3 linked regions of the Coturnix japonica genome follow. The protein of the gene in region 3 interacts with the protein of the main gene of each other region in a pairwise test. Links are inferred from orthologs where the notes say so. Each region holds a gene or a part of one and is shown on either strand. Other genes may lie near its edges.

What was found.
Region 1: the proteins of APPL2 (region 3) and RAB5C interact in binary tests that used the Homo sapiens proteins (3 or more experiments, as listed by UniProt). The two-hybrid records come from large-scale screens. The link is inferred for Coturnix japonica from reciprocal best matches to the Homo sapiens genes APPL2 and RAB5C.
Region 2: the proteins of APPL2 (region 3) and SUV39H2 interact in binary tests that used the Homo sapiens proteins (3 or more experiments, as listed by UniProt). The link is inferred for Coturnix japonica from reciprocal best matches to the Homo sapiens genes APPL2 and SUV39H2.

The regions. Positions count from the first base shown.
Region 1 is NC_029542.1:4,452,020-4,455,649, forward strand, and holds the end of RAB5C (ras-related protein Rab-5C), read right to left. Parts: intron 3,197-3,630; coding exon 3,045-3,196; intron 2,738-3,044; coding exon 2,615-2,737; intron 2,237-2,614; coding exon 2,143-2,236; intron 1,774-2,142; coding exon 1,658-1,773; 3' UTR 601-1,657; downstream 1-600. UniProt on the Homo sapiens protein: The small GTPases Rab are key regulators of intracellular membrane trafficking, from the formation of transport vesicles to their fusion with membranes.
Region 2 is NC_029516.1:6,627,681-6,630,625, reverse strand, and holds part of SUV39H2 (histone-lysine N-methyltransferase SUV39H2), read right to left. Parts: intron 2,760-2,945; coding exon 2,613-2,759; intron 1,313-2,612; coding exon 1,183-1,312; intron 1,100-1,182; coding exon of another isoform or gene 1,029-1,099; exon of another isoform or gene 193-1,028; coding exon 83-192; 3' UTR 1-82. UniProt on the Homo sapiens protein: Histone methyltransferase that specifically trimethylates 'Lys-9' of histone H3 using monomethylated H3 'Lys-9' as substrate.
Region 3 is NC_029516.1:49,570,312-49,574,518, reverse strand, and holds the start of APPL2 (DCC-interacting protein 13-beta), read right to left. Parts: upstream 2,837-4,207; 5' UTR 2,661-2,836; coding exon 2,607-2,660; intron 1-2,606. UniProt on the Homo sapiens protein: Multifunctional adapter protein that binds to various membrane receptors, nuclear factors and signaling proteins to regulate many processes, such as cell proliferation, immune response, endosomal trafficking and cell metabolism.

The sequences.
Region 1 (3,630 bases), on a different chromosome or scaffold from region 3:
CTGCCAGCCAGGAGCTCCTGTACAAGAAACCAGCAGATGGCAACAGCACCTCGCTCTGTTCCAGCCGCTGCTCAGTTGGGAGCCGGTAACAGTTGTCCAACGGGTCCCTCTCGCTGCTGGGGAATCCAGAAGCACCAGCAAACCATCCTGGAAGCGATGGGATCTCTGACATCTCATGAGGGTTCTGAGCTCCTCCAGCACATGAACAGCCACACAGAAACATGACATTAGCATCTTTAGATACTAGAGGCATTTGCTGACCAATATTTGAGCACACTATCTCTAAGTTCACCCAGCTGTCGTGTAAACTCCCCATTCCTATGCATACTGCTCCTCCCACCTCTCCTCAGCTCCTGCTATAGCTAGTTAGCCCAGAAGTGCAGTGATGAGCAGTTCTCACTGTTTACCTCAATCATGCTGCTGTACACTGTGATGAGCCAGCAAACCAGCTCCAGCTCCTCATAACAGACAGGGGCTCTGCAGCTCCATGCGGGAATCCCTCCCTCACCTTGCAGAGCTGGGCCTCACCACGCCTGTTATGTTCTGCTCCACTCCGCTCCCCTCCTGCTTGTTAAGAAACACGAACATTGTTGATCGTGGTAGGTTTATAAAAATTTTCCTTTAATCACACAAAACTGAAGTTTGTGATGAAGAGTAGCTTGACAGTTCCTCTTAAATACCAGTATGCATAAGACACTGCATTAGGCACTAGGCAGCAGCCAACATCAGTTAGAGTCTGGCAAGAGAAGCCATTTTAATACCTCCCTTCACACCGTGTGGGATTACAGGCTTTTGCAATACACAGTTTTCACTGACAGGTCACCCGAGGTTTCCCCTGCCCCACTTCTGTACATCAGTAAACCACGTGTATTCACACCAGGGTGGGGTTAACATTCGTGGCATCACAACCATCAAAAAAAGACAATTTTCTATACAAGATTCTCTTTTTCTTTTTTTTGCAAAAGTTGCAACAGGATGAGTGCAGTATGACAGAACCAGAGAGAAAAGAAGTTGGCATGCGAGAGTCCAACACAAATGAAGACAACAGGCAGCTAGTTGTATGTTCTATATTGACAAGATACTGATTGGTTACATGAAGAAACATACAATACAAAATACAGAAGAAATCAGTTTTTCTTCCCTCTGCCCCACCCCAAAATACTCATAATTGATTTGGTCAATAAGTGGCTGAAGAGCCGGAGTTTGTCACTATAATGCTACAGTTTAGTGGTTGTTCTAGGCATATCGTACTGGTATTCGCCTCAGCTTTTACACGTGGGTAACTTTAAACAAGGCTGTCTAGTCTCAATATCCCTTTGTTTCCAATAGTGAACTACAGTACTGTGGGACCTGGGTGCTGCTGGCCCTCACCCGTGGGGAGGGATGAGCTGGCTGGGCAGACACCAGGTCGTGCATCCACCACCACCAGGAAGAGGGAAGAGCAGAAGTTCATATATTAAAAAAGTGACTTAAGACTTAGAATTGAATTAGTATTTGTACAGAAAGGTGCAGGTGGAAGAACTCCCTCCAGCCTATGATCAGAAAGGGATGGAGAAATCACAGCAGCCACCGGCAGCAGCTGCTCTACGGTAAGTGCGATTGTTAGCGTGGATTCCAGTCACGTCCTTCGAGGGCTCCATCGGGCGAGATCAGCTGCTCAATTGCTGCAGCACTGGCTCCTGCTGGGCTGACTGCTCTCCTGAAGGTCGACCACCCGATTCCTGCCCGGACCACCTGGAGCATTCTGGGGTTCATTTTTTGGCAGTTTCTTGGCTAGGAAAGAAGCAAGGTATCAGCAGGTCGCTCTTATAGAGGCCAGCCTCCTCCCCACTGCAGACCACACGCTGAGCTCAGCTCTACTCCAGCCTCCAGCTCTCAGGACACTGCTGGCAGCACAAGTACATTAAACCTGCTTTTAGCTGTCACCAATTCTGCTCCACCCTCATTCACTCCAGATAAAGGGAGAGAGGGAACAAGGTTTGCACTACCTGGGTGACCACACACACAGGTCTAACAACCTGGTCACACATAAACTCCAGTAAGAGCCTCCAGAACCCAGCTGACACAGACCCTGTGGTTTTCAGTGGGCTGTACTGCCAGTGCTCAGAGCTCCTCCAGGCAGCCCTTTCACACCACACTTACCTATTGCCATGAAGATTTCATTCACATTCATTGCTGTCTTGGCCGACGTCTCCATGAACAACAAGCTGTTGTCATCTGCATAAGCTTGTGCATCCTAGAAACAATAACGTTAGAGTGATAAAGGCATCCTGCCAGGAGGAGGCACATGCAGGCTCCGCATACTCCACTTGCTGGCATTATTAAACACTGAAGACAGCCTCTGCCCAGCCCAAACTGGGCACCTCCACCCCAGCCCAAGCCCTGCCTGGCCAGGACAGCTGATAGACGTGCAGTACTGACAGGAGCACATGGCTGAGGTGCCAGCATCAGAGCCAGGATACAGCAGCACAGATTGTTTGTGAGCTACATGTGGACACTATGTCTCAAGCAACTTAACACCTTGTACTTTGGTTGGCTGGGAGTTTAACACACCTCAATGTGAGAGCTGCTTTCCCGGCTGCTCAGGTAGCAGCTGAACCACATTCCCACTTACCTGGAAATCCACAGCTCTCTTGGTAGCAAGGTCTGCCTTGTTTCCTGCTAGTGCAATTACAATATTGGGGCTGGCCTGCCTCTGCAACTCTTTCACCCAGTTCTTGGCTCGTACAAATGTGTCCTGGAAGTAAAAAGGAGGCAGTCAGGAAAGGCAGCCTCTTAATAATGCACAATGAAGATATGATTAGAACAAGTCTTTCCTGTAAGAAGCATTCTGCTTCTACAGCACTTTGTAGCAGGATTCTTTATCAGCTTAGACAGCCTTGATCAGAAACAAGGAAGTGGCGAGTTTAAGAAACTCAGTACCTGCAGGCAGGCATCTGCAGCAGCCCTAAGCCCAGAACTCTCCCATGGAACAGAGAAGCATCAGATATAAGTGCAGATGCCTCCCTCCCAGCAGACACTTCAGGCCCTGGTGCAGTACTCACTGTGTTAGTGATGTCGTAGACAACAATGGCTGCCTGAGCACCTCGGTAGTACATGGGTGCCAGGCTGTGATACCGCTCCTGTCCCGCCGTGTCCCATATTTCAAACTTCACCGTTGTGTCATCCAGACAAACTGTCTGCGTTAGGAAGGCAGCTGAAAGAGAAGAGATGTTTGCCTTGTCTCCAGCTGGAGAGCTCCTCCAGCAAGAGCCAGCAGCTCAGAGCAGTTCTGCTTTTGCACAAGAGCTGGCAGAAGCCCCAGCCAGGCCAGCACACTGCCACCTGCTGTGCAAGTCACAGCTCTGCTGTGTTACAAGCTACTTATGTGAGGGAACCAGAGAGCCACCAGGCAGCAGGCTGCCAACAGAAAGGTGGCTCCGAGCACCCAGCAAGCAGCCTGACATTACACTGCTACCCACCCCCAGGGGTCACCACCCAGACCACACAATACAGCTGCAGCACCCTGAGGATTAGCTTCACAGAGTGCCTCAGTGCCAAAGCACTGCAGTCAGCCCAGTTACACTGCACTCCTTGGCCTAGAAACCAGTTATTTTCTTGTTCCAGCAAGAATAACGCCATACTTTCATT
Region 2 (2,945 bases), about 43 Mb from region 3:
GAATAATATATGTATGAAAGAAGAGTCTCCTTAAAACTCTTAGAGAAGAGAACCAAGTATTTGTGACTTTGGGTACTCAAACTCAGTTGAGATAACCTCTGCAGCACACAGCTCCGCATTTACACACTGTTCTGATCCTCTTTCTGGATGAGCTCAGACCATCAGCAGAATCTGAAGTCAGATCTATTGAACCTGTAACACAGATAGACACAAATAAGAACATTTGAATGGAAAGACTGAAATTGCGCTCGGAATTCAAGACAAACGGCTTCAAAAAGCTTTCTGCCACCCCAGCTCTTGAAGGAATTGTGTGTGAAGCTATGCTGAATTCTACCAACACCCACATTACAACTGCTTATCCAACACTTGTCACACATGTCAGCATCCAAAGCTCGATGAGCTCAAGCCTATAGGCATGTTGGTCAGCTGAGACCACAGTCTGCCTTGAACATCAGCATCACAAGCATCACAAAAAAAAGGGGGAGGTTTAAAGAGATTTCAATAAGGGAACTTGGTCAGTATTGAAAGAGAGCTTCGGCAAGAACATGGTTCAGCTCTGGAGCATAAAGATACTTCTTTGGAAATGAATTAGCTGGGAAAACAATATGATGTGGTTTAGTGGTTTACAAGCATGCACAGTTTGACACAGAGAACACCACTGCCAACCAGGTTCAAACATCTTATACTGTACTGGGGAAAGGAAGAAAAAGAAAATAGAATTCTTGAATGGAAAGTCGATTATCATAGAAACTGGTAACATTTTACCAAGAACATTTCTTCCCAAAGTCTCTGCATAACAATCACTATATGCACCTACGGTACCTTACATCACTCAGCAGTTGCTTCTAAGGAGATTCTCTAGCGGTTTACCTGAAATGAGAGCTTCAAGAAAAAGAAGCTTAAATATGTTTTTTGTCCTGACCATGATTCTGAGCAGTCCTGCGACCGATCTTTAAAGCAAGCTACCTTGTCAGAGGTTCCAACACAACCTCTTGATTTGAACCTGGAGTGCTGAAGGAAGTAATGCACTAGAGGTGCACACAAAGCTTCTGGTTGTGCGCTGTCAGTGAGGGACATCTAGTGAGATGCAATGCCTGACCTAAAACATCGACATTAGTCAGACTGCAACAACATCAGCCGCTGCCCCCCACTTCCCTCTAGAGCAACATAAAACCTGCAGACCTTTCATCTGGTAGTCAAAGGTCAGCTCCTCTCCAGCCTTAATGGTTCTTGTGGAAAACAGTGCTATTCGAGGAAGACGCAGGTCAAGGTTATCGATAAATACATTGAAGACTTGAAGATTTGGATCACACTGTGGAGCAAAAATTAATGAAGTTTCTGTTAAAGAAATGCACAGTAAATTTCACTGACGTATTCGGGAGAGGGAGAAATGGTGCTTAGTGACAGAAGTCTAAAAGTCAAGTCATCTGTGTTCCAAAATCAACAGTTCTGAAATAGCGTTAACGGAGACCATTCAGAGCTTAAGGCCGAGCCCTTTCAAGAAGGCAACTTTCACACAGTACAGAGACTATTAGTATATAACAGCCTACTTAAAATAATGGTAACTTCAAAATACAGCAACAAAAAAAGACAAAGGTGAAGTACTGACTAAATCCATGCAAATAATTAATAAGCTTAATAATAAGAGCAATAATATGCAAAAAGAAACCAACACAGCACCTTAAGCCACACAAACATAAATGCAGAATAATGAGTGCAAACATTGCTTCTAGGCCAGAAATAATATTCTCATACTGCAGGTAACTATTTTTAATTGCTAATCTCAGCTTTGTATTATCTGGTACAGGCAGGAGGGGAGGTGTCAGGCAAACTACATGTGAGCTATAAGCTGCTTTCTCATGTTCGACAGATGAAGTTTCAGAAGTCAATAGTCACTGAAACGCCTGTTAAACTGCAGTTAAACTACAGACGTGCTTTTTACAAGTAACACATAGTGTTACTTCAAGTCAGACTTTTAACTTTACAAGTGCAAGAATGTTTTGTTACCATTTTCAAAAGGGAAGAGCAGACCATACATAAGACTTCTCATGCTTTTCCCCATCCAGCCTGCATGAAATACCAGTGATGTCTTCAGCTCACGGATCTGAAGATGCAGTGCACTGTATTTCCAGTGCTATATTTGTAGAACAGAGTCTGCACACATCGGTAACGAGCAGATCACTATTGAACTAAACATCATTATAATTTCTTTACATAGTTAAGGTTTCGTGTTTAACGTACTTCAGTTCAACAGTGTGCCCCGGTGGTGCAGTGGTAGGAATGCTGCATTGCAACACTGGAGGCCTGGGTTTGAATCCCCCTGTGGCACAAGTGGCAGAAGTGCCGCTCTGCTACACAGGGGCTGGAATCCTGGGGGTTGGACTCGATGATCTCTAAGGTCCCTTCCAACCCGCACAAGACTATGATACTATGATACTGTGATATTGCATTCTATCATTGCACTGTGCCGTCTAACTGCCTAGATTGCACTGGCATGAAAAACTTCAGAAAGAATTGTGAATATAGTATGAAAATATCTGCAGTAGGACAAGATATTTCTGGCCCAATTAGGATAATTCTCTAAGTAGTCAGGATAGAAACCAAGGTCTTACACTGTGATTCACAAAGTGGGACACGTTTCCATATCGAGCTGCATCTACTGTAAACTCATCTGAGTCATAGTCCAAGTCAAACAAGTACGTATTTCCCTGGTTGTCATAGAACTGGCCTCGTCTCTCTGCTTCCTCACTTGTAATCACCTAGAAAAAGATAAAAACAAAGAGAAACCTGCATCATATTATTAACTATTACTACATTAAAATAAAAATCACAAGTTAGAAAAATTTTGCTTAGGAAAAATATCACATTTGTTGTTGGTTTTTTTCACGTTGAAACAGTATTTTGTGTATAATGAATAAAGAATACATGTATAGAGCTATATTAAT
Region 3 (4,207 bases):
GACAAAGCTAGGGGACATAACCACACCAAACAACTGAGTGCTCACCTACAACAGCAGGCACACAAGTACGCACGCATTCAGAGATACCCCCTACTTTCTCCATTCTGCCAGCTTGGCAACAAATTGAGTGGAAAAAAGAGCATAGCCACAAGTATTATCTTAAAGACATGAATCCCCTTGGCTTGTTTTGGTGGAATCATCAGGAACTGTGAAGTATGTTGCTTCTGAAATGGGGAAGTAAAATAACACAGAGTAACACTGAGCTCCAGTACACAATATTGCAATGTCACTAAATGAGACAAAGCCCCTTTAACAAAGTCACAATTCATCCTTAGTCTTAACGTTGGTAAATCCAATGAGTTTGATGCTAACTAGCAATGTCTTCCCATCTGCACAGCTAATTTATTCTGCTCCAATTAGATTCATCTGCTTACCTGAGGGGCACACATAAACTCCACTACCTTACTATTAACAGAGGGAGCACTTTATCCATCCTCCTATTACAGCAGCCTTCTCATATCTCTGAAGTACCCAGGTGCCAATGTGGCAAACTTACTGGAGAGCCTTAACACGGTTTTAAGTAGCTCCACCACATTAACAAGAGGTACTTTCCCAAGATGCTTATTTTTTGCCAATCAAGATTGTATCAGTCCTGAATAACTCAAAATCAACATCCTCCAAATTAAAAAGCAGTTGCCTGAACCATAGAATCACAGAATGATTTGGGCTGGAAGGAACCATTAAGACCATCTATTAATTTGCATACCTCATGCACTTTCTAAAACATGAGGTTATGTCCTCATTTTATTACCCCTCTGTCAGTGACTGCATGAGGCTGAAGAGAATCAGGTCACTTTATGTGTAAGTATGATCATATAAGTTTCTACATTGCAAGCTCTGTGGGAGAGAGACTGTGTCTGCTTCGATTTTGTAGTATCCAGCTCAGAGAGGAACAGGGAAAAGTTACAGAACTTGAAGAAGTGATGACCAACCCAAGCCAAAACAACCTGCAAACAACCAGGTTTATGCACAGCCCAGTATTTCCAGTAATTGAAAAGGATCTGTTAACAGCCTTCAGGTCAGAAGAAAGACTAAGACCTCCAAATTCAATCTGGTGCTTTGTTCAGCTGCTTTCACTCAGTGTTACATTTTTAATCATCGAAGGAAGCGTTGACTGAAGAGGAAAATGAGTTCACCTACCCTGTGTGTCAAGTTCTTTAGCTCCATAATACACAGGGGAGGTTGCTATTAAAAACATTAATAACTGCTCATAATAAATCTAGCACACTTTGGTACAGAGTGGAATACTGTACAGTTCAGGTCAGAAGGAACTCTGGAGGCCCTCTGGTCCAACCCCTGCTCAAAGCAGGCATCAGGCTTTTCAATACTGTTCCCAGTTGAGTATTGAAAATACTCAAGCTTTGAGATTCCATGACACATCAATATTTGACAAAAAATCATTCTTATTAAGGTAAGCTTTCATGAAATCACAGGAAAAAAGGTTAAGAAGTGCTCAAGATGAGCCTTAAGACTCCTTAACTCCTGACAGGTGCAAGTCCAATCTTTCCTTCAAATGTCTCATGACAGACTCTGTAACACCTTTTAGCCATCTGTTCCACAGTTTGCCTGTTGATTCCTCCTCCTGGCCCATCAGCAGATGAGTTCCAGTTACAGTATGGGGATACTTGGGAGCAGCACCCAAGCAAAGCCACCCTGCCCTTCTTTCTTCTCCTTTGCTTCACCCACTACTTCTGTATCTCTGCCTGCTTTGCATTTTGACCTCAAGTGTACCTTCCCCACCCTACTGGGAAATTTCCACTCTCTCTTTCCCCTTACTTCTTTCTTCCACCCCTCCTCTCATCCTCCCTTGCCAGCTCCCAAGGCCTCACATCTCCCTGGAACGCCCACCAGCCATCTTGACATGTCATGTTCTCTGCTATGGGTTTTCTACAGTGCTACTACTGCTTTTTGCAGTGAGGAGTGGGTGCTAGCATGGGAGCACAGAGCTTGCAAAGACTGGGAAGGAAAGAGTGACAACTGCCTGGCCTCCTTTCATTTAGAACGAGGTCACCTTCAGTAGGATTCAGCCCACTTACCCCCGAGGGAAGCCCTTGTATCTGACGTGCAGTCCTTGGGACCATTCACAAGTTGCAGAGGAGCGTGGCCACTGGCAGCCAGATTCACTAGCCTACTTCTGTTGCCTCTTTCCCCCACGTACCAGGAGGGAGTTAGGGCAACATGCCGTGCCCAAACACACCTCACCTCCAGCACACTCCGGATAGGACAGCGTGAGGGAAAAGCCATGGAGACGAGAACAGGCGTCGATCCCCGACCTGCCCACAGACGCAGACATCACCTGTTTTTCCCCGACAGGTGACCGTCAGGAAGCCAAAGCCTTCCCCCGACGCCACAGGGCCGCCACCAGCCGCAGAGCATCCCACGGGCTAAACCCCCCTGCCCATTTCTTCCGCCGGTCGGCAGCCGCCCCCCGGCCCCTGCCGTCCCTCTCTGCCGCGGACGCCTCTCTCCCCGCTCCCGACCCGCTCCCCGCCCGCCGACCCGCACAGCTTCAGCCGCGCCCCCCGGGCCGGCTCTGCTCCCGCTACCTGCGGGCTGTCCTGCAGAGCTTCTTCCAGGAGGAGCTTGTCCACGGCGGGCATCTTGGCGCTGGGTCGCAGGGCGGAGGGGCCCCGGGTTCGGCTGCGGGCGTCGCTCCCCACGGGGGCGGCCGCGGCTGTCCGTCCGTCAGTCAGTCCGCAGGCTGCGGGCACGGCGGCTGGCTGCGCTGGCGGGGCCGGAGCCGCTCACTCCTCCCAGTTCCCGTCTGTGGGAGGAAGCGAGTCACGGGGCAGGGCTGGCAGGGGGCGGCTTCCTGCCGCCATTAACTCCTCAGGGGCCACTGAGCTGTATGTAGCGGGAGGCTGGAGTCCCTAGATGTAAGATTCCTCTTCCTCTCCGCCCCAGATACCATGCTTACGGCTCTGTGCCCCACACAGCAAAAAGGAGCTGTGGGCCCTCCCCGCAGCTGAGGGAGATGCACTCTGGCTGCGAGGGAGCAGGATTGCGATGGAAATTAAGGGAAAAGTGCAACCTCTGGTCTCCGTCTGTGGGGCTTGAGGGCCTCTGGCAGTCTCTGGCCAGTTGCAGTGCTCCTTGGGGTGTCCCCACTGGGCTCAGGCCATGTACTGACCCTGCAGGCTCTGGGAAGCACCCCAAGTCCTGGGTGACTTTCTGGGTTCAGGGCAGTCTCTGGAGTAGCATGTCCAGGCCCAGGGCCCCAGCACAAGGAGGATGTGGAGCTCTTGGAGCAGGCCCACAGCAGGGCCGTGAAGATGCTCAGAGGGCTGTGGCACCTGCTCTGTGATGAAACACTGGAGGAGTTGGGTTTGTTCAACCTGGAGAAGAGATGGCTGCGGGGAGATCTCTTTGTAGCTTTCCAGAACTGGAAAGGCACTTATAAGCAGGAGCAAGACTCTAGTGGATGGCAACCCTGCAGGGGAGCAGAGCTTAGTCTTTAAGGTCCCTTCCTACCTAAGCTATTCTGTGATTCTACAGCTAAGCCAGGCATGCTTTCAGGCAGTCCTCATCAGGGGTGTTTGCATTTCTTCTTATTTATGGGCTATTCTGCAATCAGAATTACAAGGATGCAAAGTGCTTCGGGCATGTCACTTCCAGCTCAGTTTTTATAGCAGCCTCTAGTTCCTGAACTGCAAATCAATTAGAATAATAGAATCATTGAATATCCAAAGTTGTAAGGTACCTGTAAGGATCAAGCCTAACTCTTACACACTTGCCATCTGTAGCCTTTCATTGTTCCACTGTGGTTCAGGATGAAACTAGAGATAATAACATCTCTTTGCATCTGAATCTTGCTGGATTTTTCCACTTCTGTTATTCCTAAGCAATAATAAGCATTCTATATGGCAAGAAAGGTGACTGCTAATACAGCTCTTCTTGTTGATTAAAATACAGCCTTAGAAAAATGTTACAGATCAGCTGGATGATCATTTTATTTAATTATGTAAGAAATGTTAATTATGTAAGAAATCGTAGCTAAGGCATTTCTGAGGGTCTGACATGGATTGGTATTAATTCTGAAGCTTGTGATACGACCTTTAACCCAATGTGCCAACTCTGTCACAGTATGACTCCGCTCCAGCAGTCCTGAAGCTGGACTCCCTGTTACAGCCCCTACAGCAGGAACAGC